Elephas maximus indicus: one gene and its partners. The protein of the gene in region 2 purifies or fractionates together with the protein of the main gene of each other region. This does not show direct contact. Links are inferred from orthologs where the notes say so. Each region holds a gene or a part of one and is shown on either strand. Other genes may lie near its edges.

The links.
Region 1: the proteins of G3BP1 (region 2) and ATXN2L purify together in Homo sapiens (affinity purification with mass spectrometry; 4 studies listed by BioGRID and IntAct, with this or other methods). This does not show direct contact. The link is inferred for Elephas maximus indicus from reciprocal best matches to the Homo sapiens genes G3BP1 and ATXN2L.
Region 3: the proteins of G3BP1 (region 2) and TARDBP purify together in Homo sapiens (affinity purification with mass spectrometry; 3 studies listed by BioGRID, with this or other methods). This does not show direct contact. The link is inferred for Elephas maximus indicus from reciprocal best matches to the Homo sapiens genes G3BP1 and TARDBP.
Region 4: the proteins of G3BP1 (region 2) and PABPC4 purify together in Homo sapiens (affinity purification with mass spectrometry; 4 studies listed by BioGRID and IntAct, with this or other methods). This does not show direct contact. The link is inferred for Elephas maximus indicus from reciprocal best matches to the Homo sapiens genes G3BP1 and PABPC4.

The regions. Positions count from the first base shown.
Region 1 is NC_064830.1:88,857,142-88,864,125, forward strand, and holds the start of ATXN2L (ataxin-2-like protein), read right to left. Parts: upstream 3,003-6,984; 5' UTR 2,730-3,002; coding exon 2,434-2,729; intron 1,850-2,433; exon of another isoform or gene 1,548-1,849; coding exon of another isoform or gene 1,426-1,547; exon of another isoform or gene 1,410-1,425; intron 1,397-1,409; exon of another isoform or gene 1,267-1,396; coding exon of another isoform or gene 1,229-1,266; exon of another isoform or gene 924-1,228; intron 827-923; coding exon 790-826; intron 579-789; coding exon 522-578; intron 437-521; coding exon 365-436; intron 1-364. UniProt on the Homo sapiens protein: Involved in the regulation of stress granule and P-body formation.
Region 2 is NC_064820.1:167,399,306-167,406,658, reverse strand, and holds the start of G3BP1 (ras GTPase-activating protein-binding protein 1), read right to left. Parts: upstream 3,002-7,353; 5' UTR 2,890-3,001; intron 1-2,889. UniProt on the Homo sapiens protein: Protein involved in various processes, such as stress granule formation and innate immunity. Plays an essential role in stress granule formation.
Region 3 is NC_064821.1:50,843,538-50,851,136, reverse strand, and holds the start of TARDBP (TAR DNA-binding protein 43), read right to left. Parts: upstream 3,009-7,599; 5' UTR 2,796-3,008; coding exon of another isoform or gene 2,455-2,795; intron 2,237-2,454; coding exon of another isoform or gene 2,185-2,236; intron 1,790-2,184; 5' UTR 1,784-1,789; coding exon 1,546-1,783; intron 1-1,545. Other genes in the region: C3H1orf127 (uncharacterized protein C1orf127 homolog), read left to right, coding at 2,185-2,236, 2,455-2,795. UniProt on the Homo sapiens protein: RNA-binding protein that is involved in various steps of RNA biogenesis and processing.
Region 4 is NC_064821.1:81,201,761-81,209,354, reverse strand, and holds the start of PABPC4 (polyadenylate-binding protein 4), read left to right. Parts: upstream 1-4,594; 5' UTR 4,595-5,634; coding exon 5,635-5,827; intron 5,828-7,594.

The DNA of each region.
Region 1 (6,984 bases), on a different chromosome or scaffold from region 2:
ATTCCCCAACACCCGAAGGTCAGTATCAAGAAATGTGAAAGCAAAAATACAACTATTTTCCCTTTACTCTTTCCAAAAGTACCCCATGTACACTGCCTTCTCAACACCACCCGAAGGCCTAACAAAAGTCTCAAATTTAAACATCTGACATTCTAAAATTCATGCTTTTTAACAACAGAAGAGCCCATGTTTATTCAGACCCACGTCTTTTATTACCACTTGTAGTATTACCCTGGCATAGACCTACATAATGAGTAACACCCATAATGTTGACCAATACCACCCAATCCAATGCCTTTGATAAATCTATTCCATTCTCCTCTTCCAGCAAAGTCCAAAAATAAGCTGATTCGAGTACACTGACCTTTGAGCTCAAAGTCTTGAAGATACCCTCATAGGTGGTCCCATTTTTCACCTTTACATCACAAGTAGAGCCCTAGGAGAATGAGAAAAATAAGAATGTCTCTAGCAAATTGAGTCCTAACCGTCTTAAACAACCTAGGGGTTAAGTACCCACTTACCACAACAGCTGTAAGGAAATGTAACATTCTGTAATTGTTGTAAACACCCTCAAACACCTGTCAGCGACAAAAGAGGGAGAAATAAGAAGTGGTCGGTCAGTCAATGTTTCACTTTCCTTTTAAATGCCCAGGCTCCACTCACCCCCACCTTGTGTGTGCTGGGTCTCCGGTCCTTCTCAGCCCCTCTACCTCTGTACCTAATCTCCCCTATACCCCATGTGAGCGGCTTTTAGGTCCTCATATCTTAGGGAGAGATAAACGTACTCACTGGTGACTGTGGGGGTCCTTTTCCTGTGCTCTGTCCCCTAAAAGGGAAAGGATAAAAAAATTGGTTATTTAAATCTTTTTAATTTTCCTTTACAACATTAACCTCAAAGCACTTAATATCCTAGAAACACATACCAAATGAAGATGCTGATTTAGGCTACAAACCAATTTACCAACAAGATGTTCAAATTCTCACCTTATAGGGGAAAACAACAGTAAGCATCAAGAGCCAGTAAATACGCTGCCTCCAAATTCCAGTAAAATAAACCATAATCGGGAATAATTGTCATTGGTCTGAAGAGCCAATTCAACACAACCTCCTCACTTTCTCCCAGGGGCAGAGGGCTGCATGCTTCCAACAGACAACGCTACAGTATTCGATAACCAATAACCCATCCCAGATATAAAGGCAAGACTTAGGTAGATTTGGTAGTACCTACCTCAGACACATTACTTCCCAAATAGAAAAGACAATCATTTTCAGTAGGTAGATTTGGTAGTACCTACACGCACCTCAGACACATTACTTTCCAAATAGAAAAGACAATCATTTTCAGCAGCCTCACACCCCAAGCCCTGAGAGGAAAGCCCCTCCACACCTCACCCCCTAGACCTCATTACCCATTCAGCCTATTACCAACTCGGACAGGTCACCAATCCCTCGGTAACCCCGCTCCTCGATGGCTGATGTAACCGGCGATTGAGGGCGATGAGGGGGCCGTTGGCGGGGCTGGGGGACAGCGCAGCCGCAAAAGCCATCCACCGGGAGGCCTCGCCCGGTCTGCGCCTGCGCTCTCAAGCCCACGGGCCTCTTCGAAACGCCCCCTCCCGTGACCAGAACCCACTGCGCCTGCGTGTACCACCACCCTCAATTCCATTAAAAAGAGAGACCGAGAGGGAGAGAAACCGAGTGGGGCCTCCAGTACCCCTCCAGGCACACGCCCAGCTTCTGCCCAATATGTTGCCCCGGACACACGAATGCCCGGGTCAAGAGACAGTGCATCCGCGCGCACGTACGGCAAAAGCGCGCGCGCGGCGGAGGTTCCCGGCCCGCAGCCCTCCCAGACCTCCCTCCTTCCGTCCCCCCGCCCTCCCCGCTCCCCTCCTACTGGCCAGACCGGGAAGGGGGAGGTAGCAACCCGCTCCCAAGTCCTTCCCTCCCTATTGGCCAAACTGTGGGCCGCGCGCCCCCCTCCATTGGCTACGGCCGGGGACCCCTTCCCGCAGCTGACTCCCCATTGGCTGAAGCCCGGGACCGCGAGACCCTCCGTGGTAATGGAGCCGGGGACCCCGCTCACCTTTTCTCCCCCCCGCAACTCCCCGATTCGGCGGTGCTGGAGAGGTGCGCCCCGCTTCCCCTGAAAGCCCGAGTCCCGAACCCTGCCTAGGCCTTGAAAGCTCAGCCTGGCCCCCAAATGTCCCATGGCTGCCCGGGGACCCTTTTCCTCCGACCTGTTAGGACCTGAGGGTACCCACCCCCATCTTCACGGGGGGCCTCTCGCTCCCCCCGGTGCCGTCCATAGGTGGTCACGTTGGGGCCCGCCCCACACCGCTGTACTCAGGCCCCGGCCGCCGGGCCGGAACAGAGCCGCCGCCTCCTCCTGGTAGCCTCTGCTCCCCCGCCCGGAAGCCCACCCCTCCTCACCTGGAGGTGCCGATGGTAGCTGCCCCTGGCCTCTCTTGATGCTGCGGCGGCGGCGGTTGCGGCGCCAAGATGCTCTCGGCTCCCCGGCGCAGCCCGCTCCCTGCAGCGGCTCCGGGCCCCAGGCAAGGGGAAGCGGCCGCGGGAGGCCCTGGGGAAGTCGAGGTGGAGGCCAGCGGCCCCGGGAGGCTGCCGTTGGGAGGGCTGGTGCCCCCGGGAGGCCGGCGGGCCACGGCCTGTTGCGTGGGGGGCGGCTGCTGGGGCTGGGAAGTCTGTTGTGGCGGCTGAGGCTTCAACATGATGGCAGCGTCCGGAAGGGGAATCAGGGGGAAGGGAAGGAGCGAGGGGGCCGGGACTAGGCCCCTGCCGGAGGGCGCGGGAAGCGAGGGGGGTTGGGATGCTGGGGACCCGCCGTTGGCGGGCGGGGGGAGCCCCGCGGTGTCGGGGGTGGATAGAGAAGACCGCGGCGCGAGGAAGCGCCGCGAGGCGGAAGGGGAGGGGGTCTCGCGGGCTGTAGGAAACCGAGAGGGCGCGAGCCGGCCTGGCGCGCGTGCGCGTCGCCGGGAAAGGGGGGAGCGCGCGGGTGAGAGCTCTCGAAGGGGGAGGGGCGGGGAGGAGGGAGAGGTGGCGCGAATGCCGGCGCGCACCGGGGCGGTTAGCTCCAGGTGGGTGAGGAGGGAAAATAAAATTAAGTGAATTTCGCGCCCTTAGCCTTTGGAGTGGGAAAGGAGCAGCGCGGGCGCTCACACGCGCCAAGAATTTAAAGTCTCTAGGTCTGAAACAGCCCTAGAAACTGGCAGCGGCTGTCGCTTCACAATGACCGTGTGAGCGCCGGGGGAGGGGCCGAGGAAGCGGAGAGGAAGAACCGGTCGCCCCGCCTACGCCGCCGGCGTAACGTCGGGATGCCTCCGCATTTGTGTGAGGAGGTACCACGTATCGTTCGATTCTTCCGCCATTCTGGGGCTAGTGGGTGGAGTCTAAATGCAAAAAGATCCCCGGAATTGGCTAAGCCAAGGGTTCTACTCCTTTAAGCAGGTGGTAGGTTTTGTGAGGAGCTACTTTGGACCTTACCTGCTTTAAATAGAAGACTGAAGAGGATTGAAGTGTCCGAGTTTATCGTACTGGCCTTTGCAGATTAGCCTAATCATAAATCTTAAATTTAAGAAATTTCCATTATCTCGGGGCCGAGGTTCTTACGGTCTAGTTCAAAACCCTCCCCCCAACTCTGATAAAGCCAGCATTCATTCATTCAAAATTAGTTGGGCTTTAGGACATTTGGATACAGCGATAAGTAAACCACTTCCTACCCCCAGGGAAGGAGCTCTGGTGGTGCAGTGGTTAAAGCGCTCAGCCGTGCTAACCAAAAAGGTCGGCAGTTGGAACCCACCAGCAGAGAAAGACATGGAAGTCTTCTTCCGTAAGATTTACAGCCTTGGAAACCCTACCGGGCAGTTCCACTCTGTCTTACAGGGTTACTATGAGTTGGAATCTACTCGAAGGCAGTGGGTTTGGCTTTAGTTTTGCCCTCGAGGAGTTCGAGCTGTTTGTGGATTCACGCAATTAGATGAGATCTGTTAGATGAAGTACAGGGCACTGTGAGAACAGATAGAGGTGACACCGAATCCAGTGTTCCGTGGCATCAAAATTGAAAAGACAGTAGAGAGATGAATTTTTAGGCAGTGGGAAATGAATGTGACAAACAGAAAAATTCAGCATGGCTGGAATGGAAACCCTGGTGGTATACGTGGTTAGCTGCAAACCAAAAGGTCAGCAGTTCATATCCACCAGGCGCTCTTTGAAAACTCCATGGGGCAGTTCTATTCTGACCTATAGGGATGCTATGAGTCAGAATTGACTCAGCGGCAGTAGGTTTGGAGCATAAAATTAGAAGAAGAGGTTAAAAAATAGAGACACGAGGTAGGCAACCTGGGACCAGATTCTAAAGGCCCCCACTTGATCTTCAATGAAGTGGGGTGGGGCTTTTTTTAGAAAATGAAGAGGTCAGATTTGCAATGTGGAGAATGGAATGGAGAAGTGATGGGCATGTGGTCTTATCCAGTGAAATTTCTCATGTCTTAATCTCTCTTTAAACCCTATGGGCTAGTTCTACTCTGTCCTATAGGGTGGCTATGAGTTGGAATCAACTCGACAGTGAGGATTGAATCTCTTTTTGCTCCAGGCATTATTAGCGTTAGAACTCTTCCAGCTCTCCTCCCCTCCTGCCTCCCAGTTAAAAGGCAGCCCTTCTCTGGCACTGGGCTTTTTGGGTCTCTTTGGGAAGTCTTCTCTCACCTCAGTCTCACCCCAATTTCCAGTGGGTTAGGTTCCCGTTCTGTGTGCGTGGCCACTTTATTCTGATAGCTCATTTAATTATGTCTTCCTGCAAGTGTCAGCTCCCTAAAGGTTGGGATCTTGATTCTTACTGCCCTCTCTGCACTACCTAGCACGATGCAGGCAGTCAATTAAATATTTGTGAGGTAAATGTTTCCAAGTCGTATCTTAAAGACCTTCATTCTCCTGGGTGCCTAAGTAATACAGTCTAGCTTTTTCCTGGCATTACCTGCACTATCTGGTACCATGCTACCTCTTCAGTGCTCCTGCCCCTCCCCCTCAGATTCTAATTAAACTTTCATTTCCATAACATAACCCATTGCCATGGAGTCCATTCTGACTTGTAGTGGACCCTGTAGGACAGAGTAGAATTGCCCCGTAGGGTTTCCTAGATTGTAATCTTTATGGGCCAGATCCCCAGGTCTTTTCTTCTGCAGAGCTACTGGTGGGTTCAAACCACCAACCTTTTGTTTAGCACCTGAGTGCTTAATCACTGTGCCACTGGGGCTCCCTTTCCACAATATGTCTTGCCCTTATTCAGCCCTGCCTTTACATGTGTTGTTTCTTCACCTAGAATTCCCGTTTCAATTCTCTAGTTTTTTATTCTTAAGTTGGAGTGTCACCTTTTCAGACATCCTGTTATTTACTCCTTCCTCTGGACGTCCAGAGCACCATATTGGTTTTGTTTATATATGTGTGTCTCCTTTCCATTGGGATCATGAAGGGCAGGGACTGTATTTTACTCATTTCTAGATCCCTTGTGCCAAGGTCAGTGGCTGTCACCCAATCGACAAATTGGTAAATGACTGGAATGTTGTTTTCTTGTATGAATTAAAAAACTATATGACTATGATTTGATATGGAGCGATTGCCAGGATATATTGTTAATTGAGAAAAGCAAAGTTCAAAAGAGTAGAAACTATGGTATGAGGAACAAGAGAAGGAAATAAATGTATCCGCAAATTTTTGCAAAGAGAAATAGAGGAAGAATAACCCAGAAACTAATAAAATTGGTTACCTGTTAGGATAGGGAAAAATGGGGGTTCCTTGGTTACTGGGTTACACTCTTCTTTTGGAAGAAGACAACAGAGCTCCGATGGGGGGTGGCCAGGGGAAGGGACACTTCTTTCAGTATACCTTTTCGTATAGTTTTGACTTTTCAGATCATAGCACAGTCAACATATTAAAAAAATGAGATCAATAAGGATGGGAGGCTAAACACTGAGTACAGATGTAAACAAATGAACCCAACTATATCTCAGATGAAGAAAATAACCACATTGAAGGGAGAAAAATAGAACTAATTCAAGTAGCTCTTCAAGTGTCTTCAGCCTAAAGGAAAAATAACTGCAAAAAACCTCAACTCTAGTTACAGTGATAAAGTCATGGCAGTTCTGAAACTATTTTGGGGTATTGTAGAACTGAGCACATGAGTGTTGTTGGGAGCCAGGGTTCTCAGTGGGGAAGAAAAAAAAAAAGGAACCCAAACCCATTGCTGCTAAGTCCATTCCAACTCATAGCAACTCTACAGGACAGAGTAGAAACTGGCGCACACAGTTTCCAAGGACCACCTGGTGGATTTGAACTGCCAGCCTTTGGTTAGCAGCTGTAGCTCTTAACCACTATGCCACCAGGGTTTCTATATACATATATATACACATAATACATTCGCATTCATATCTAGTGTCCAGATCTTGCTTTCCAAATAGTATTTTTCAATAAAAGGACTCAGAGCTCCTTGAAGAAATGGTTGATTCCAGGGCAGAAGTAAGGAAGGTACAAGATGAGTTTGGAACATCTTGTGGCAGAAAACAAGTACTTAAAAAAAAAAGTGATAAGGAGATCAAAGAGACATAGGAGCCAGCTTGAAGAGGTTTTCACTGGCCAAACCTGGGACAAATTGTGCATCAAAATAAGGAAAGTAATAGATCATAACCCACTGAATAAAAGAAGAATCTGTGCATCCATGCTGTTAATAGGTATAAACATACATGCTTACATACGTAAAAGGAAGGCACACACACTAGAGAAAACAGATGGACGTTCTTCAAAAACGCCCGTGGCACGAGAGACAAAGGTAGAGGAACTCTTCCAGATTGAAGGAGGCTTAAGTGGCTAATAGCTAAACGAAACACTTGATCCTGGCCTAGATTGCGTAATAGAAAAAGATTGCTATAAAGGATGTAAATTTTCCACTGGCAAATTTGGAATATAGACTATAAA
Region 2 (7,353 bases):
TTTTTTTTTAGTAACACACAACGCCTATCTAAACTTCCAGATATTTTAAAAACCAATCTAATTGCAAAGCATTAAGAAAACACCAGTGGGCACTTTTATGAAACCAAAAAAAAAAGTTGGTTTAAGTCACAAATTCAGGCTTTACATTAAATCTCATCTTTTGAGCACTGGCCCATCTATCCTTCTACAAATCATACACAACTCACAAACTTATAAAAACTAACCTCTGCCCTTTACTTTCTGTGCAAAGCATTAAAATAAGTTCAAGTAAAAGATCCCTAATGTAAATTACAAAAATTGCTGCAAGGGTCACCAACGAACTTTACCAAATCTCCTGATGATCTCTTATTAAACTATTAGCTAAGAACAGCAAATCAAGTGTGAGGTAAAGAAAACCACTGCCTACTTTTCTACCTGTTAGAAGAGGTACGTCTGCTCCGATTTGAAAGGATTTAACTCTTAACAAAAGTACTAATGGCTTGATTGGAAAGTAAGGCTCAAGTCTTATATTATCACAATTTGCTTCATTTCGCTTGTTTTTGATAAATACATGCACAGCAGGCCAACTGGGGTACCAACAATAGGAACATCACTTAATTTTATTTCTCCCCAAATGACAGCAATTTGCCTGAGGCCAAAAACAGTATTTTGTTAATACTTGAAGGGATTACTGACAAAACTTTCCCTCAATTAATACATAGTTATTTCATCCCGATAATATTTAACCTCAAGTAGTACTAAAAATGGCTGGAATCAAATGTGTAGGTCTGTCATCATAGTGTGTCAATATTTGATAATCTAAATTGCTCATCTTAAGTCCTAAAACACTTATTTCACAGTTAATTCCTCTTTAAATGCAGGTAACAGAAATTGTTACACAACTGCAAGTTCCAAATAAAACAATGTTATATCCAAATGGAACTGTAATTTATGGCAACAACTAAACGTAAGAACTTGTCCACACAACATTCTGATCTTTTACTGCTACTTTTTGTTTAGAAACATGGGGGGAAGTACAAGGTAAAGGAAAACACATGCAAGTATTAAATCCCCTCATTGTCTTAACTTACAAAGAATGTACATAATGTGTACCCTCTGGCTGCAAAAACTCCTTAAAGAGCAATCCTAAAGAGTATGAGCGCATACAGTAAAAAGGACAATTTTTTTTAAAAAAGAAAAAAAAGCAGAACAGGTTGAAAGCCATTCAATTCAAAACTAATTTAGAACAGCTAATCCCAAAGCTTCTTTTGCAGTTTTGTCTTAGAGACACCTGTGATGCAAATTAATAATTTTGACTTGCAACTTAAGAACATTCATTATTTCATTAAGCCAAAGTGTATACAGGCTTTAAAAAATCTAACTCTGCTACAAAGATAAAAACTCAAGCCTTCGAAGATGAGAAAGGTGTGTTCCACTTTTTTGCGTCTACACAGGAGCAGAGTAAATGCTCAATAGCTGAATGTAGTAAGGCTTTCAACCACAGAAGATCCCAACTCCACAAGAGTACAATTTCCAACATACCCCTATCACCCGCGATTCATCTAGCATTTATAACCTCCAGAGGTCAAATTTATCCTGTAACGGGGAGCCATCCTTTCCATTCCAATTTTTAACCCACAGATACTGCTGAGATCTGAAACTCTTCATTCTAAACCTCATTTTCTTCAATTATAAAACGAGGAAGTTTAAACTACCTTCTCAAAGGTCTTTCTCAAAAATCTGCTCTGATTAAAAAAAAAAAAAAAGAAGGATTCAAGACCTACATATCAGAGTCTAACTTCCTGCTGGCGAGAATGTCCCATTACCTCGCTGAGTTTCAAATCTGATGAGGAACACAGTCCATGTTCGTCGGCATTTATTCATTTTTCTACTTTTTCCAGAAGCTGTTAGGGCAGCACATCCCTCAGCTATCCCAGCGAATACAGGCAAAAAGGGAAGCTCAAACCCTCTTTCTTTGTCATAATTCCACTTCCAACCTTTGATCATCTCCGTGGAAGGCCACCACTGGCCTCAAGTACAAATGCCGCAGAGACTTCTCGGCAATTGTGTCTTCCGAGGTGGATGCTGCCCCCAGTGACGCCTGCTCTCGGGGCAAAGGTGCCCTGGGACCGCACAAGCCGTTGGAGCAAAGAATAAAACAGGCTCGGGGGCTAGAAGTCAGGCAGCCTGAGTTGAAATACCTGTCCCTTACCGTCTGCGTACCTTTGGCCATGTCACTCCACCTAGGTGCTTTAAAGTCCGCTGTAAAACGAGGAAAACAATTGTACCTACCTCACTGGGTCGTTGGAAGGATTAAATGAAATACATACAAGTTGCTCAGCACAAAGCCTGGCCCAAAAGGAAGGGCTTAGAGACATTAGTTATTGTTATTGCTAATTCTCCATGCACAAGGCCGCTCGCTCTGTACTCCCTGGAAGGTCGAAAAATTCTGATCGCACTTGAAGGTCGCCCCTACCCCTCGCTCCCGGTCCGGGCCAAGTCTGAGCCTCTAGGCGCGGGGAGAAAACACTCGGCTGGCGCGTGGGATGGACAGAGGATGGATGGGGCGGGCGGCGGGAAAAGCCGGCCAGCCGGCTCGCAGTCCCTCCCTGGCCGCGCGAGGCTCCCGGCCCCCCGAGATGGCCCTGGGGCCCGGGCGGCGGCCGCGGCTCGCTCTCGCCCCGCGTGGCCGTTGGACGCGGCACGTGCACGCGGCGGCCACGGCCTCGCGCTCCGGACGGTGGGGGTAGGGGAGGCAGAGAGCCGCTGCGCGCGCCTGCGGCCGTTGGGGGGAAGGGGGGGCGCGCCTCGCGCCGCCGCCACGGCAGCCGCTCGGACCTCTCCGTCTAACAGCAGCCCCAGCTCGGCCTCGTCCTCGGGCGGCCCAGCCCCGCCCACGCCCCAGCCTACCTGCGCGGCTGAGCGGGAGAGGAACAAGCTCTGCTCCACAGTAGGACGGATGGCAGAGGACCCTCACGGAACTGCGTCCGCACACACGCGTGCTCCGCCGCCGGTGTATATAACCACGACTCAGCCTAACTTGTTGCGGCCAGGCCGGGCGAGCGGATGGCCAATCCCGAATGCGCCCTCTGGGCTCTTCGAACCACAATTGGATATTGACTCAGGGTGAAGGCGTGGCTCTTGATTGGCTTGGACTAGGGCGTATGAGACTGTAAGGATCGCGTTTCCCTAGTAACGGATTGGCACTCAGAAAAACCAATAACTTAAAGGTACAGTGAAAAGGAGGGTGGGAAGTTATGTGACCGATACCCGTAATAGCCAATAAATCCATGAAACTACTCTCATTCGCTAAAACGTCGTCCCCTGGGCGGAGATCCGTTTTCCACGCAGGAGCGGTTGCTCCACAAGGTGGGGCCCGTGTACTTTGGGGAAGTAAACCCCAAGTAACTAGGAGGTGGGCTGCAGAGAGGCCAAGGAAGTCCCTGGCCAATCGTAACGCCGGAAGGGGCTGATTGACGCGGGGGTTGGCTCCAAGGAGACCGAACCCCAGGGCCGCCGTGCCCTCTGGGGCGTTTATAGGAGTTTCCAGGCTCTGGCTTCTGTTCTCTTTCCTTTCTTTCTCTTGTTTGATCCGGCCCCAGGGTCCTTTTTCCCGCCTTTTCCGCACAGTTGGTACTAGGGGAACCAAGGGGTAAAATTCCCCGTTAAGTTTTTGTTTTTAATCTTTTATTTAATTTTTTTTTTTTTAATTTCTATGCGGCTGCCTAAGGGCACTTGCTGAGTCTTACCTTTAGCTAGCGCTATTGTTGGACTTGGACCACAGTTAAAGGAAAACAAAAGAAGAAAATAGTTTCTGTTGTGTGTGTAAGAAATGTAAAAAGATCACATGTGAAAACTACTGTTGAGTTTGAGAATGTATATGTCCACCCCATTCCCTCTTGGCAAATGCTGCGGTTGCTTAAACCAATGGTGGGCTTATGGGGGTTTTAATCAGACTTTCCATTTTGGTTGTTGCAGAGGGAACGTCTCCCGTCAAGTTTGGGCCTAATGCAACATCACATCTTGTGTGTGTCCCCAAGATTGTCATTCCTTTTTCTAATTGCTGTGTATACATGGGACTTGGAAGACTTGCTTTTTCTTCATGCCTTTGCATCTTTAGAAGATAACTTGTCCAACTCCTGCATGGATACTCCAAAGATTCCCCGAAACGGTTAGGCTAAATGGCCCTCCAGCCTGGTTCTGTCCGTGTGTCTTAGTATTTTGCTGTGTCCTTTGTTGGTCACCACAAGCATTTTATATAGGAATATGGTTGGTTCCAACACATTAGGCATAAACTCGCATTCTCATTCCAGGTATGTAAGCAGCTGGGAGGGTCTTCTTACATTTTGCCAATAACGTTGGAAATGAAGCAGGTGGAGCGTCTCTGGATGCAGAGAAAGGCCAAGCAGGATGGCCTAGCCAGGGCTGAAAGGAGAAATGGGCACCCGCCGCATCTGAACCAAATCCAGCCCTGCTCTTCCTCTCTGCACTGCCGGCCTGGCAGACGAGACTGGAGACCAGGGGAGGCCTCAGGAGCCATGAGAAAGGCCCCGCTGGTTCCCCCAGGTCTCACTCCCTTATCAGCCCTGCTTATTCAGTGTTGACTGAGTACCAGGGCTAGGAGTCAGAAATGATCAAGATGCTGTTCACTGTCACCCATTCAACAGAGGGGTGCAACACTGGGACACGGATCCCAAAACAGGCATCAAAGGGTCTGTGGGGGGAAAGGAAGGAAATCAGCCTACAGGAAAGAAGCAGCTAAAAAATGTCTGAGGTAAGGGACCTTAAGATCATGTAAGGCATGTGAAGGAATTTGGGCTTTATTCTGTAGGTGGAAGGTTTTTTCAAGGGTGGACTAAGGTTTACATTTTACAAAAATGACTGTACTGAGAGCAGATTGACAAAAATAAACAAGATTGGTAATTTAACCCAGGTGGCCTGTGATGTGGGAAATGGCTTCTCTTGATCACATTTGGAAGGAGTATTAAATGATACAGCTTATTTTATAAGGCAAGTAGGCAGTGTCTATTAAAATTGTGTGTGTCCCTAAATAAAATTCTACTTCTTGGTAGACAGGTACATTTGTTTACAGAGAGGCCTGTACCAGAGTGTTTATTGCAGCATCGTTAGAATACTTAGAAGTAGAATATTAAAATAATATTCGTCAATTGGCAAACTGTTTAACGGTGGTATACCTGTAATATAGGATACTTATGCAGTAGTTTAAAAAAAGAATATATGGATATGAACTGATGTCCACTTGTTAAATGGATTGTTAATTTAAAAAAAGTCATTCAATGAAACATACAGTGAAGTCCCATTTATGTCAAAAACAAAAAAAATGCTCATTTTGTATGTTAAAGTATATATGTAAATGTATGGGGAAAGTTCTGAATTTAAAATAAATTCAGTCATTACTCCTGGAGAGTTCAGTATGTAGGGAGGGATGAGGGTAATGTATCTGAAATGTTTACAATGGTACTGTGTTCACATACTGTGTTGTGTAATGGGAGGGAATGAGGGAGAGGAGGAAGGAAGGATTATGGGAGGGAGAATGTGGGCAAGACAACCCCTCAGATGGCTGTTGCTGTCTTTCATGGGAGAAAGGGAGTTAACATCCTCCCGTCAAAGCTTCCCCATCCAGATAAACCCTCTAGATCCAGACAATGGATATTTAGTAAATGTTCGGTAGTTAACTTACTACCAACAAATTGTCTAAAACGTGGTTGAGAGGTTGTCTCCAACATCCCCCCCCGCAAGGACATATTTGGCATTGTCACAGCTAGGTAGAGGCCACTGGCATCCAGTGAGTAGAGACCAGGAATACACAGGAGAACCCCCAAAACAGAGACTTATCCTGCCAAACCCCAATTATGTAGAGGTTGAGAAACCCTCGTCTATAGACCCATTTAAGTCATCTATGGGAGAATCTCAAGCCTTCTTCTGGTCTTTATCTCCGCTGCCAAGCAAGTTCTACAAACCCCTCCAGTACATTCTTTCACCCCTGCCTTTCTATCAGCTCTCCCGAGAGCTCTGAGAATCGGGGTGGAAGGAGAATGAACAAGACCCCAGAACATACAGTTTGATAGGAGGAGTGCAAGGGTGGTGGGAAATACTAACTAGGTAAGAAAAGTTTCTTGAATATCATCTGAATCAATGTTTCTCAAACATAGTTACTCATTTATGAAGAGTGATGAAAAATATGTGTGTATCTTTAACTGTTAAACTCCCACCTATGACCAAAGACCTAGTATAATAATTTTCATTGCAGCATTGTTTAAAGTAGAAGGAAACAGGAAACAACTCAAGTATCTAGCTACATGGTACTGATGAGATACAATGCTAAAATACAACACACTCTTACAGTGAACTGTCATGCAATCACAGAGAAAATGAGGTAGATCTACATGTATACTTGTAGTGAGATCACCAAGAGATATTGTTAAATGAAGAAAGCAAAATGAAGAATAATGGGAAGAGTGTGCCACCATTTGTGCAAAAAGAACAAATGGAGGCTATGTTGTTGTTAGGTGCCATTGAGTCAGCTGCAACTCACAGCAACCCTATGGACAACAGAAGGAAATACTGCCTGGTCCTGCGCCATACTCAAAGTCATTACTGTGTTTGAGCCCATCATTGCAGCCACTGTGTCAATCCATCTCGTCGAGGGTCTTCCTCTTTTTCTCTTCTTTTCCAGGGTCCCTGCTGATAACGTGTCCAAAGTATGTGAGATGAAGTCTTGACATCCTTGCTTCTAACAGACATTCTGGCTATATTTCTTCCAAGACAGATTTGTTCTTTCTTTTGGCAGTCCATGGTATATTCAGTATTATTTGCCAACATCATAATTCAAAGGCATCAATTCTTCTTCAGTCTTCCTTATTCATTGTCCAGCTTTCGTATGCTATGAGTCAGCTGAAAACACCATGGTTTGGGTCAGGCAGTTTAGTCATTAACGTGACATCTTTGCTTTTTAACACTTTAAAGAGGTCTTTAGCATCAGATTTGCCCGATGCGATACACCGTTTCATTTCCTGACGACTGCTTCCATGGGCGTTGATTGTGGATACAAGTAAAATGAAATCCTTGACAACTTCAATATTTTCTCCGTTTATCATGATGTTGCTTATTGGTCTAGTTGAGAGGATTTTTGTTTTATGTTGAAATGTAATCCATACTGGAGGCTGTAGTCTTTGATCTTCATCAATAAGTGCTTCAAGTCCTTTTCACTTCAGCAAGCAAGTTGCGGTATCTGCATATCACATGTTGTTAATGAGTCTTCATCCGATCCTGATGCCCTGTCCTTCTTTATATAGTCCAGTGTTATGGTTTGAATTGTGTCCCCAAAAATGTGTATCAACTTGGCTAGGCCAT
Region 3 (7,599 bases), on a different chromosome or scaffold from region 2:
AGAGGGCAGAAGGGGACAGAAGCTGGCTGAATGGACATGGGGATATAGGGTGGAGAGAAGAAATGTGCTGTCTCAATAGGGGGAGAGCAACTAGGAGTATACACCAAGGTGTATATAAATTTTTGTATGAGAGACTGACTTGATTTGCAAGCTTTCACTTACAAAAGCACAATTAAAAAAAAAAAACAAAAACAAAACCTGTTGCCATCCAGTCGATTCTGACTCTTAGCAACCCTACAGAAAAGAGTAGAATTGCCCTGTAGGGTTTCCGAGTGGCTGGTGAATTCAAACTGCTGATCTTCTGGCTGGCAGAAGAGCTCTTAACCACTATGCCACCAGAGCACCAAAACTACATTAAGCAGGAAAAATAAATGCTTAAAAATGTGTGATACTATCCTTGTTTCTATATGTTAAACGTATCTGCTTAACCATTTCAATGTCTCTTACGTAATTTAAAGGCTATATACCAAAAAATTAGTGTCTTTTATGTCCAGATGATGGAATGAATCGTGCTAAGTTCATTTATTCACTAAATATTTGCTCAGTATGTACTAAAGGTCAGGTGCTACAGCTATAACTGTGAATCGGTTTGTCTTTTCTAAACTTTCACCAATGAACACACATTAGTTTTGTAATAAAGAAAACCTTAAGCTACTTTAAAAAGTCAATATTTGGAAAAGGAAGGGAAAGAAAATCAATGACATTTTACATTCAAGTAAATATTAATCTATAGCCAATGGCTTAATAAACAGCATACTAAAAAAACAATTATGCAGTTAAAAATCTTCTAGGTATATTAAGTCAACGTCCTGTGTCTTAACCAACTTTGATAATCTTACCTTGCTGCAGTAACATATAAGTATCAAGCAGATATACCAACCAGCACACATTCCTACTGCTAAAATGTATCTACATCCTTAGCACTCTTAATTTTCATGCTGTTCTTAGATTTAGAGCAGTGACAAGCACCAGCAAGAATAAGACTTAGCATTAAAACCCAGTGCCGTCAAGTCGATTCCGACTCATAGCGACCCTCTAGGACAGAACAGAACCGCCCCATAGAGTTTCCAAGGAGCGCCTGGCGGATCTGAACTGCTGACCCTTTGGTTAGCAGTCGATTAGGACCATACTAATTCAAAAATCTGAGTTACTGCAACTGAATGTTCCTTTTAGAGGAAAAAGAAGTCAGACTAGCTGAATGACCTAAGACCACCAAGGGCAATGACAGCCCAAAAACTTGGGGGCACTTTACAAGAATCCACAGCACAGATATAACTGCAAAGCATTCTTAAGAATCCCTGAAATCTGCCATCAACCTGGCAACGCTTGTTCAGATAATTTGTTATTTAAATAGTTTCCTCTTAAAAAATGTTCTGTAACTTCCCATTTTTATTAATTTAGACTAGTGGTCTTCCAAACTAGTCTAATAATAAAGCTTAAGGAAAAGCTTGCTTTATAGATGTTTCACCATGAAGAGAGGTCATGATTGGTGACTTGGGATGAGGCACAAGTCCCACCACACTGCAAAGCGAAATGGCAACAAACCTTTGGGATAGTTGACAACGTAGACCAGATTTCCCCAGCCAGCATCAGGGGCATGCAGAATTCCTTCTACTAGGCGGACACCTCTCATACACTGAGATACTGGATTCCTGTAGCGTAGGCCACATGCCCCTGGAAACTGGGCTGTAACCGTGGACAGCAGCACTGTTCCATCATCTTCTGATGGTATTTCAATAGGTTCATCATTCTCATCTTCTGTTACCCGAATATACTCAGACATCTTTTTCTTAAAAGGAAAAAGAAACATGAATGACCAACACTAATGCCAGGGGAACTGTTTCCTTGAATTCTGTTGATAACTAACACCACCCCACATTATCACTCTACGACTTCCAGAAAAATCCTTGCTGTGTGGACTCTTACACACGTGGATTTTTCTTGAGAAATGAGGCAATGGCAAGAGTAGTGATTTTCTATTAGAATGCGATGCCCTGCTAGGTTCATTCATTCACTAAATATTTCCTGAGGGATAGCTGTGGGTCAGGTGCTGCAGCTGGAACTGTGAAACCTGTCCCAAGTGGCATGCTGGTTACAAGGGGGGCAGGGGTAAACAAGACAAAGTAAACAAGTAACTATTTTACTACAATTGTCATACATAGTATCAGAATGAAGTACATAACCATGAGACGGCCGAGGAAAACCTCAACTGGGTCAGACCTGAGAGTCTGGATAGGTCAGGTGTAACCTGACACTTGAGGACCGAATAGAAAGAATGAGCCAGGTGAAGACATGATAAAAAAGTTCCTTCCTATTTGTCACTTTAGGGCTTCCTCGGGCTCTCCAAACTTGTGTCACAAGGACAGCGGCGACCAATTCGGACCGCCACCTCCCAGAAGCCAATGCGTGACAGCAGAGGGAGGAGTTTTTAGGGCGGCCCGGGTGGGGCCGCAGGGGTACACAGCCTCAACTGCCAGCGCCCCCCAGACTGCGAAGTACCGAAGGCACAAAGCATCGCCCGGGCCTGGTGGCCGCGCCTAACCTCCGTCTCAGACTGCGCGGCACCGCGGGACCGGCGTCGTTGCTTCGGCGCCGAATGCCACCCCACGCCATGCCCTAACGAAGCTCCCGCGCGAAGCCGCTCGGGCCGGCGGAGGCAGGCCCGGCCCCACGGCTCCCTCCTCTGCGGGGCCCGAAGCTGCTGCGTCAGTCTCGACCGTCCCAATGGGGGAGCTCACCCAGCCAAGAAGTCCTCAGTGAAGAGCGTCCGCGACTCACCTGCTAGGCCGCTGCTAGTAAGCCAGACAAGGAAACAAACCGAGAGACCAAAGAGCAACCCAATTACCGCCCCGGTCTCACAAAATGGCGCTAGGGCCACCTCCTCCCCACGCCGGCCGTCGTCCTCTCCCATCGAATCCCCGTTAAGAGGGGGAGGCCGCCTCACAGACACACAACGACTCTCTTCTTAGCGAGTTAAGGTCCTTATTGGGAGTGTGATAATACAGATAAAACTTTAAAGCTAGATAAGACCAGCATCAAGGGCTGAAAAGTTAAATACTTAGAAAATACGAATGAGTAGGCTTTTAATGACCCCCAGGTAGCGTAGCAAATGGTTTTGCCCGACCAACCGCCGGCCCCAGGTCTCGGCCTAGCTCGCGCAGTTTCAAAGCGCGCGAGACTAGCTTAGGGGCAGAGCCAGGAAGGGTTGGGCGGGGCCATGCCAAATAAGGCGGGGCGGGGCGGGGCGGGGGCGGGCGGGGGCGGGGCGAGAGGTCGCGGGCTCTCCAGACCGTTCCCGGGCTTGGGAGGGCAGGAGAGTCCAGGGCAGTTTGTCTAAGAAGCCAGCCGGTTCTTCCTCTCCTCCTTACCATAGGCAACCTCCAAACCTGGAAAGAAGATCTTTGTCTCTAAAATAACTATTGATCAATAATAGCGCCTACTACGTGCTCTTTACTTTCAAAGTACTTGCATATTTAATTCGCCCAACATTTTCACATGGTAGTTTTTTTAGTTGCTATTGATTTTTTTTTTTTTTTTATTGATGGAGCCCTGGTGGCAAAGTGGTCTAAGAGCTTGGCGGCCAACCAAGAGGTGGGCAATTGGAATCCTCCAGCACCTCTGTGAAAACCGTATGGGGCAGTTCTGCTCTGTCCTGTAGAGTCACTATCAGTCAGAATTGATTCTACAGCAATGGGTTTGGTTTTTTTGGTTTGTTTGTTTAGTTGCTATTGATACTATCCCCATTTTACAGATGAGGAAACTGGGCCATAGAGAGCTTAAGTGTCTTGCATAAGGTCACCCAGGCAGTGTATGGTGGCCTTTGGATTTGAACCTGGAGGCATACAATATTAACACCAGCTCCAGCCCTCTAAGGTAACAATACTATATTTCATCTGTTTTAAGACGTTTATTTTGTTTCACATTTCTGAAATGAGAAATTCATGTATCAGTTACAAATACAGTTGGAGATGTGTCATACCAAAAAAAAAGCCCCCTGGAATCTCATACTCACTGCAGTCCAGTTGATTCTGACTCATAGCGACCTTACAGGACAGAGCAGAACTGCCCCGCAGGGTTTCCAAGGCTGCAGTCTTTATGGAAGCAGACTGCCACATCTTTCTCCCACAGAGCAGCTGGTGGGTTTGAACCGCTGACCTTTTGGTTAGCAGCTGAGTGTTTAACCTGCTATTAATACTGCTATTATTTAGAAGCAAAGATCTTTCCAGGTTTGGAGGTTGGCTAGCGGGAGGAAAGAAGGAGCCCTGGTAGTACAGTGGTTAAGTGCATGGCTGCTAACCGCAAGGTCAACGGTTTGAACCCACACGTTGCTCTGTGGGAGAAAGATGTGGCAGTCAGCTTCCGTGAAGATTGTTGTTGTTTGTCATTGCACAACTTCCAGCATCACAGCAACACCCAAGCCTCCACAGATGCAAGGGGGCAATGGGTTTAGGGGAAGGAAAAGGGGACACATTGGGCTAGGAACACTTTTAATTTCTTAAAACCATTAAAAAAAAAAACTGTTGTGGTAGAGTCGATTTAGATTCACGACAACCCCACATGTGTCAGGGTTTCCACTGGCTGATTTTTGGGGAGTAGATTGCCAGGCCTTTCTTCCGAGGGGCATGAGGGTGAACTTGAACCTTGAACTTTTGGGTTAGCAGCCGAGTGTGGTAACTTCACCACCAGGGGCTTTAATTTCTTACTGGTCTATGAGATAATATAGTCCATCTGGTTCAAAGAAATATAGTAATAGCAAAGGCTTACACAGACTCTGGTCTAAGTGCCCTATATGTATTAACTGTATAAGCCTCACGACAACTCTGTAAGGTAGGTGCTAGTGTTATCATGCTGCTTAACTGAAAGGTTGGAGGTTCGAGTCCACCCAGAGGCACCTTGGAAGAAAGGCCTGGGATCTACTTCCAAAGAACCAGCCACTGAAAACATTATGGAACTCAGTTCTACTCTGACACACATGGGGTCTTCATGAGTTGGAATTGACTCAGTGGCAAATGGTTTTATTGTTATTTCACTTTGCAGGTGGGGAAACTGAGGCACAGAGATTAAGTAACCCTGCCCAAATTCACCTGGCTGGTAAATATTGAAGTTAGGGTTTGAATTCAGGCAGTTTGGCTCTGGAGTGAGTAGGTTCTACTGCCTCCTGCTTCTTACAGCCTCCTAGGGAATAAATAGTAAGTCTCGCAAGTTTGTCTCTGATCCCTGCTGCTCGTGTTAACCAGAATTCCTGAACCAATTTGGAGGGGTGAAGGAGGAGGGACCGGGGGTAGCACGTAATGAGTGACCTTTACAGGCCCCCAGGGACATCCCTGCACACAGCGACAAGGCTATACAGAGCCCTGATGGTAACTAAGGTTTTGAACCAGTGAATGAAGCACAGTGGCCTGTATCATCTCACTTAACCCACCCAGCTGTTTGAGAGGAGAAGTCAGTTTATTATGCCCATTTTGCAGAAGAAGAAATTGAGGCTCAGGGGCCACGTAACTTGCCTGAGATCACACATTTTCCTAAGGAAGTCACCCAGCGCATACCTTGTTGCCCCAGGTTTGTCAGACCCTGGAGCCATGCTCCGTACACCTGCCTGGGCTGCTTTGTGTGACAAGGTTGAGGCTGAGGCAATTTTTTTGGCCATTTCCCTGCAGCCTTAGGTGCCTGGGGAAGTTGTCAGTTGAGTTGGGAAGATCAGTAACCACTGTCTTGAAGAATAGAAGTAACTTCTCCAGGAAAAGAATAATAAGGCTGAAAGGAGGCTGGCTCCAGAGTCTTTGTTCTCCTCTTGGCCTCAGCTTTACAGTGCTGATTGTCAGAAGTTTTACTTGTTTGAAATGCAGTTTTTTGCAAGTTCTGCTGGCTTGCTTGCTTGCTCGTTTATAGCCCTTATATATAGACTTGATGTTATTGTTATTGGGTGCCCTTGAGTTCACTCCAACTCATAGCTACCCCATAGGGCTTTTTGGGCTGTAATCTTTGCAGGAGCAGATCACCAGGTCTTTCTCCCGTGGAGCTGCTGGGTGGGTACAAACTGCCCATGTTTTGGTTAGCAGCCAAGTGCTTAACCATTGCACTACAAGGGCTCCTTAGCACTTATAAGCTTGAATACACATTAAGCCTGTAGATTGTTGGAGAACCAAAAAGTATCCGTTCACATCCATCTTGTATATTCAGAGTATTTATTAAATCTTTCTGAAGATAAGGAATCAGAAAGAATTTATCGAGTGCTTACTCTGTAACCAAAATTGTACTAGCAGTGTAAAGATACACGAGAAAAATGAAAGCCAGCCTCAAACAAGAGTAAGTAGGGGTGGGGACAGATTGGGAGCCCAAGACAGACAATAATTGGAATGTAATCCCGGAAGGCATAAAACAAGTGGGACCAGAGTTGGCCAGAGGCTGAGAGTCTGAGGACTTCCCATTGGCTCCTGGAGAACTGGTTTCCAGCACCAGGACAAGGAGTCTCAATTGGAAGGAAAGGGCACTGGGGAACCATAGCGATGGGAATGGGCCCCAGTTAGTAGCCAGTCTCTTGGGCGTGCCCCCTCACCTTCCGGTACCTACCTCCATTTCCAGCTTTGCCAGCTCCAAAAGGTGAACAGGAGGGGAACTGTACAAGCATTTCTGGAAACTAACAGAAATACCAAGGCGAGTAACTTCATTTTATCAAGATTTAATTTCCTCTTAATCCTCATGTTTTTAGATCCTGCCAGAATTAGAAGCTGCCTCCCTGACTGGTCTAGGTCTAACTTAGATTTTTCTAAAAATTTTTTTACTCTGAAATAGTTTGAAATGTAGAAATAAAGTTACAAGAATAGTGCAAAGAACTACTATGATCCTTCATCCAGATTCACAACTGATAATATTTTATCACATTTGCTTTATCGCTCTATTTCTCCGTACACTGTTTGTTGCCATTGAGTTGGCTCCGACTCGCGGAGACCACATGTACAACAGAATGAAACATTGCCCAGTCCTGCACCATTTTCACAAACTCTAGTATGCTCAAATCCATTGTTGTGGCCACTGTGTATTTTGAGTGCTTTCCAACCCAGGGGGCTCATCTTCTAACACTATATCAGACAGTATTGTGTTGTGATTCTGTGTTAGTCATCTAGTGCTGCTATAACAGAAATACCACAAGTGGATGGCTTTAACAAAGACAAATTTATTTCCTCACAGTAAAGTAGGCTAAAGTTCCAAATTCAAGGCGTCACCTCCAGGGGAAGGCTTTGTCTTTCTGTCAGCTCTGGAGGAAGGTCCTTATCCTCAATCTTCCCATGGTTGAGGAGCTTCTCAGGCGCAGGGAACCCCAGGTCAAAAGGATGCTCTCTGCTCCTGGCACTGCTTTCTTGGTGCTAAGAGGTCCCCCTGTCTCTCTGCTTGCTTCTTTCTTTTAAATCTCAGGAGATCGCCTCCAGACACAATCCAATCTTGTAGGTCGAGTCCTGTCTCGCCAACCCAGCTGCTGCCTATCCTCCCTCATTAACATAATAGAGGCAGGATTTACAACATGTAGGAAAATCACATAACACCAGGAATCCTGGCTCAGCCAAATTGATACACACATTTTGGGGGGGACATAATTCAATC
Region 4 (7,594 bases), on a different chromosome or scaffold from region 2:
CCAGGCACTCTTTGGAAACCCTATGGGGCAGTTCTGCTCTGTCCTATAGGGTTGCTATGAGTCAGAATTGACTCAATGGCAACAGGCTTTTTTTTTTTTTTTAGATAGATTGCCTTGGGTGGTATTCACATTTTCACAATGTTAAGTCTTCCTGACCATGAACGTGGTATGTTTTTCCATTTATGAAGGTCTCTTTTGGTTTCTTGCGGTAACATTTTGTAGTTTTCTTCATATAAGTCTTTTATGTCCCTAGCTAGGTTTATTCCTAAGTATTTTATCTTTTGGGGGGCTATCGTAAAAGTTATTCCATTTTTGGAGTTCTCTTTGTTAGTGTAAAGGAATCCAACTGATTTTTGTATGTTAATCTTGTACCCTGCCACTTTACTGAATCCTTCTATTAGTTCCAGTAGCTTTCTTGTGGATTCTTTGGGATTTTCTATTGTAGGATCATGTCATCTGTGACTAGGGATAGTTTTACTTCTTCCTTACCAACTTGGATGCCCTTTATTTCCCTTTCTTGTCTTACAGCTCTAGTTAGGACTTCCAATTCAATGTTGAATAAGAGTGGTGATAAAGGGCTTCCTTGTCTGGTTCCCATTCTTAGGGGGAATGCTTTCAGTCTCCATTGAGAATAATGTTGGCTGTTTATGTGTGTATGCCCTTAATCATGTTGAAGAATTTCCCTTCTATTCCTTTTTTGGTGAGAGTTTTCATTAGGAATAGGTGTTGGACTCTATCAAATGCCTTTTCTGCATTGATTGAGGTGATCATGTGATTCTTTTCCTTTGTTTTATTTATGTGGTGGATTATAGTGATTGATTTTCTGATGTTGAACCATCCTTGCATATGTGGTATGAATCCCACTTGGTCATGATGTATTATTTTTTGTGTGCTCTTGGATTCTATTGGCTAGAATTTTGTTGAGAATTTTTGTGTCAATGTTCATGAGGGATATTGGTCTATAAATTTCTTTTTTAGTGGTGTCTTTGCCTGGCTTTGGCTTCATAAAATGAATTCCGAAGTATCCCTTCCTTTTCTATGTTCTGGAATAGTTTCACTAGTACTGGTGTCAACTCTTACCGAATGTTTGATAGAATTCTCCAATGAACCCATCCAAGCCAGGGCTTTTTTTTTGGTAGGTTTTTTTTCTTTTTTTTTTTTAATAACCTCTTCAATTTCTTCTTTTGTTAATGGATCTGTTTAGATTTTCTATCTTGGTTTGTGTTAGTTTAGGTAGGTAATGTGTTTCTAGGACTTTGTCCATTTCCTCTAGGTTTTCAAATTTGTTGGAGTATAATTTTTCATAGTATTCTGATACAATCCTTTTTGTGTCAGTTGGCCCCTCTCCTAAAAAGGATTTACCGAGCCTGTCATGCAGATCGGGGAGGCTCAGAGATGTGACAACCACTTGCCAAAGTTGTGCAGCCTGTCTTATTTCCTGGACTAACCCTCTAGGATCTCAAAGACCTGTCTGTGGGCAAGGAAGGGTCTTCCTTCCTGAGGGTCAGGGCCATTGTTGCTTATAGAAAATAGAGCTTTTGTAGGTAGACTCGATCTCCTGCTGGGAGGATGGGCTGGGTTTCACCTGCTCTTACCTCTAGACAGTCTCTTGATTAAAAGCACTTTGCACAAGTTACACACACAGTCATTTATTTACTTGGTTCTTATCGCTGTCCTCAATAAGGTCAAGTTGTTCTGTGATTGTTTAGCTCATGGTTCTGTCCACAGCACCCATAGCAGAGCCTGGCTCTCTGTATGAACCACATAAAGTTTGTTGAATGAGTGAACAAACAAATGAATCCAGTAGCCAGAGCTTTTACAATTCCACTGTACTGCAAAATTCTTGGCTGCACAAAGAGACAAAAAGGGCCACATAAGCCAGAGATGCCATCATCCTGAGACCAGAAGAACTAGATGGTACCTGGCTACCACCAATGACTGCCCTGACAGGGAACACAACAGAGAGTCCCTGATGGAGCAGGAGAAAAGTGGGGTACAGAACTCAAATTCTAGTAAAAGACCAGACTTACTGGTCTGACTGAGAGGAGGAACCCCAGAAGACAGGGCCCCCAGGCTCTCTGTTAACCCAGAACTAAAACCATTCCCAAAGCTGACTCTTCAGACAAAGACTAAACTGGACTATAAGACTTAAAATGATACTCGTGAGGTGCGTGCTTCGTAGTTCACGTAGATACATGAGACTGATAGGCGAGATGAAAAGGCATAAAGGGACAGGAGCTGGTTGAATGGACACGGGAAATCCGGGGTACAGCCAGAGATATTCTTTAAAAAATACAATTTGAACCAAGGTACTGCCCTGCTTACAATATTCAGCTCTATCCTCCAATCTCAGGATAAAGTCCTAAGTGTTTCAAGTCCTCCAAGAGCTGGTTGTCCTTCCTGCCTCCCACAACACCACAGTCTTGCTCCCTTGTTCCAGCAATACTCCTCCACTCAGGGTCTTCACTTAAGTAACTCCACTGTCAGCACACATGCAACTTGATAATAATAACAATTAACATTTACACGAGCGACTTATATATGTTAGCTTATTCTCATAACTCCATCAAGTGAATACCTTTATTAGTATACTTACAGACTAGGAATCTGAGGGTCAGAGATGTGAATGAGCTTGCTCAATGTCATACACGTAGTAAGTTCCCCTACTAGAGAGTAAGCTTCAGGAGGGCAAGGACTGTTTCTCTCTTGCTCACTAGTACCTAGAATTCATTTGTTTACTCAACAAATATTTATTGAACACTTAGTATGTGCCATGCTAGGCATTGTTCTAGGTCCCTGCTATCATGAAGCTTGTATACACTGGAGGAAAGACAGACACTGAACAGGTAAGAACATATATAAACAATGTTATTTTACATAATAACAAAAGCCTTATAAGGAGCCCTGGTGGCACAATGGTTAAGCACTTGGCTGCTAACCAAAAGGTCCTTGGCTTGAACATACCAGCAGCTTCTCAGGAGAAAAGACTTGCTCCTGTAAAGATTAGTACAGCCTAGGAAACCGTATTGGGCAGTTCTGCATTGTCATGTAGGGTCACTATGACTCAGAATCAACTCAGTGGTACACAACAACAACCGATAAGAGCCTTAATAAGCTCTGGTGGCACAACAGTTAGGTGCTCTGCTGCTAGCCAAAAGGTTGGGGGTTTGAACTTACCCAGCACTTTGTCACATGGAGTCACTAAGAGTTGAAAATCAACTCAACAGCACCTAACTAACAACAATAAATGCCTTGAAAACAGGCCAACGGGATAGTGTCATAGATGACAGTGGTAGGCTACTGTAGACTGGGTGGTCTGGGAAGGCTTTGCTAAGGACAGTACCTATCTACAGAAGGAGCACTTCATAAATGTTTCTTGATTTAATACACTAGAATATAAACTCCATGAGGAAGAGAGGGACTCCCACTGCCCTGACTCCCATGGTATCCCCCAGCACCTATCTCCAGCATTGGCATAGACAAGGCCATGATTAACTATTTATTTGAACAAATGAGTATATATGTTTTTTTCATTTCTTTACTTACATCAGTTTACATTCATCTTACATATTCATTGACTTACATTTTCAATGCAAGAGTGTGTGCACCTACTGATAATTTCTGTTTTTGGTTGTCATAATGATGGGGAAAGGAGTTCCCTGTACTTATGGAGGAATGGTTGCTATATACAGTAAAGCCTGCGAAAGTCAGAACCTGTGTACGGCAGACACCTGTCAGAGAAGGAAAACTCAAATATTTTCCACTAACAGAGAGCAATAAAAAAGTGGTAAGACTGCACCCTGTCAAAGGTGGAAAGCTTGTGAGACTCATAAAAACAAGGCAGTTCCATCGAGTTCTGGATCTCACAGGTTTCACTGTAGCTTGCAATGCATGGGGACAGTATCACATGATGCAGAATCGTTCCATATCCCACATGATTTTTCAATGACCTAACAGACCCTCATGCAGATGAAAAGTCTTTTTATAATTATCTAAGTCTAGATACTAACCTCTTTTACAGAGAAAGTATTTTTGCACTCTTAAATGTAAACTAAATTTTCAGACACGCCACTACCACGTAAATCAAAGAGTGATTGAGTTTTGTCTTATTGACGCTGTACTAAAGCTTGTTCTTTTCAGAAAATCACACCACCCATGGAAGCAAGTCTTTCTAGCTGTAGCATTGCCAACGACTCTACATTTAAGTCCTAGAATTATGAGAACTCAGTATATATTCTCATGTATTCTGGACCAAACATTTACATATTGAACCTATTTTTTAAATTATAAATTGTTATTTCTTCTTAATTTCGCAATTAGGCAATACATTGATTTTTAAACGTTATGCGCATGGGTGGTTAAATTATCTATGGATTCCATTCCCGGATGATGTGGAGAGGGGCTATAATCTATTTATTATGAAAAGTTGCCCTTGGGGTTGGTGAAAGCTCGGAGCGGGAGCGGTCCTCCACGCGCTAGGGGCCGCTGTGGCGCCGCGCGGCCGCCGGGTCGCTCTCGCGTGGCCGCCCCGCCTCGGGCCCCCGGGCCGAGTGGGCGGGCACGGCTGCGCCCAGGTCGCGAGGCGCCCTTCGACCAGCAGCGCCCGGGGCGGGCGGGTATAAATGGAGCGGTGGCTCCGCTGGCCGCCTCTCTCCGCCCCGGGTCGCCGCTGTCTACGTTGTTTTCGGGCCCAGTAGCCTGAAGAAAAAAAGATAAAAAAAAAAAAAAAAACGGAAACGCTTTAAAAATCTTAAAAAAAAAAGAATACGCGAATCTTCCTCGGAGCACCCGCAGGGAAGTCACTTTTGCACGCTTCCGGCCTGCCCCTCGCCCGCCGCCGCACTTTGGCGTCTGTCCGCCTCCGTCTGTCGGTCCCGTGGTGAGCAGCCCGTGCCCGCCTGCCCGCCGCCTGCCCGGGCCTGCCCTCGTCCACGCGCCTGCGCTCTGACCCTCGCGCGTCCGTCCGTGCTGCCCGCCGCCCGGCCCTGCCCGTCCGCGCGCGCCGCGTGGCAACCTCGGCGCCCGCCCGGCCCCGCCGGCAGCCCTCGCCCCCCGCGGGCCGGCCTCCCCGGCGCACCACGTGTCCGCGCTGCCCTTCGCGGAGCCCGGCGTGGGAGGCGGCTGCGCGCGCGCACGCACGCCCGCCTGGGGCTTGCCGAGTCGGCACCGACAAATATTTTGTTTCCCTCTTCTCCTGGCTGTTGTAATCCTAAACCGCCAGGAGCCCGGGGCCTATATTTATAGAGAAACGCGTCTCCCGAAGGCCGCTGTGGGCAGCATTTGGTTGCCTCTTGAAGAATTTTTAGAATTTGGAAGGGGATTCCCCATTTTAATATTTTTTTTTGAAATTTGGAGGTTCAAACCAGGACAGCTGCAAATTACAAACTCCCAGGGAGGGCCATATTGTTTTGAGCGCCTTTTGTCTGAGGTTTTGCAGAGTCTTCTATGAGCTGTCCCTGAACTCCTGTTTTCCGTCTTCTGTGTATCTGAGCCTACTCCAACGCCCCTTGGCTTCACTGTTGCCACCTGTGAGCCGCCGCGCGAGCCACGGCTCCGAGAAGAGCCCCTTTTGTGCTGTGGTGATCCCTAGAAGAAGTCCTCCTGGCGGGGCTCGGTGTGGTGGGGGGCGGGGAGATGAACGCTGCAGCCAGCAGCTACCCCATGGCCTCCCTGTACGTGGGTGACCTGCACTCGGACGTCACCGAGGCCATGCTGTATGAAAAGTTCAGTCCTGCGGGGCCTGTGCTGTCCATCCGGGTCTGCCGCGATATGATCACCCGCCGCTCCCTGGGTTATGCCTACGTCAACTTCCAGCAGCCGGCTGACGGTAAGTAGAAGCTATGCCTACAAAATTGGGACCTCAGGGAACCCTGGGACTTATCTAGGCAAGTCCCTACCTCCACGGAGAGGGGCATCAAGGCAGCATGTTGCCCCAAAAGCCAGTAGTGGGAGCCTCCTGTAAGGGTTAAGAACGCGGAGCCTGTCATCTTATGGGTGGAGTTCCTAGTATCACTTGCTAACTGGGTGACCTTGGGCTAATAAGTTGTGGAGGTAGGGTTGGAACCCAGGAAGACTGCATAAAGAGTGAAGCCACTGTCACTCTACTGTGTGTGTGGTTCTGCTCAGTGGGACTGGACTGTTAAAGCATCTGCCTGGTCAGTGACTATGGGCTTGTGCCCCTCACATGCCCACCAAAAAAGCAGGGCGATTGAAATACAATTCCCTGCAAAAACTTGAGGTTGCAGAACTGCTGGCCTCTCCTCCTCCCTTGACCTGGCCTGAATCCTTTGAGTTTTGGCCGATAAGGGCTCTTCAGGGCAGATAGAAAGCCAGGGAGCAGTTCTGTGTGGGGATTTGTATTAGTGTCCCCAGAGTTGCATGTGCAGCCAGTGCCAGGTCAGCTCCCCAGTCTGCATGTTTGCCACTGAGGTGGAAGAGTTCTTTGCCCACAATGGTGACCAGTTAGTCTGGGAAAGTGCCACCTGAAGTTTCACTGGGCTGGGGGCTGGGGCTGGTGAGCATTATCACCTTCCCTCTGCACAGTGATTGACACTTCCACTTCATGCCATCTGAAGGAAATAGGACTTCTGTGAAGGAAAAGGATCAGCAATTGGAGGCTAAGTTGGGACTCCCAGTGCAGTGCTCTGCCTGCCCCAGATTGGAGCAGTGGAGAGGTATGCTGCAGGCTGGCAGGAGTGAGACAAGAGGAAACCTAATCAGGGGCTGCACGTGACTCCAGACTAAGAGGGAACAACTGCAGAGACCATTACAGAGAGAAATGAACTGTTCTGTGGCAGAGTCCCTCCTTGGTTCACTGTTCACGAGGCAGAGAGTGTAACTTGCCCAGGATGCAGCTGAGACGGGGGAATTGGACTTGCCTTCTGAGCTGAGTTCTGTCTGGGGCCACAGGAGCACAAAGAAGGTAGCTCAGTGTGGCCTTTCTGGGGGAGGGGTAGTGGGTACATTCACTAGCCGTGGCCTGCCTTCTTGGCTCTTCTGAACAAAAGTACTGTCACTTAGAGATAGTAGCAGAAGCCATTGGTCAGTGTGTCTGCCAACACATACCTCTGCAGGACCTCTCCCTGCTATAAATAAGACAGCCAGATTTGTCAGACTAAGCCGACTTGCCTTCTGCAGTGCTCACGTGAAATAGAGAGGAGTCGTGTAGAAATGAGTCCCAGGCATGGGTTTCACATAATCCTCGCAGCCGACTCTCCTGTACCTGGACGTTTCCTGTCCTTTGTCTCCCTTTTCCATGCCTTAACTGAAGAGTGTGGTTGGAAATAACGAGGGAAAAGAAGACACTCCTTTGGCTGGCTGGACGCTGAACTTCTGGAGGGGAGAAATTAGGGAGTTGATTCTGCAAGACAGGAGAAAGCTCCCTCACTCTAGCCCTGTCTGAATCCCCTCAGGGAGGAAGTTCTAGGTGATGTCATTGCATTAGTGAAGTCACTGCTGTGAGGTTGTACTGTAAATCAGGTCTGGGTGTCCTTGTTGCTGCCAGTGAAGAAAAGTGTTCCTGGCTGGCAGCTTATTTTTACTTCTGGTCCTTTACATGGTCTCCATGGTGCAAACATCGACTTGGTTGCCAAAC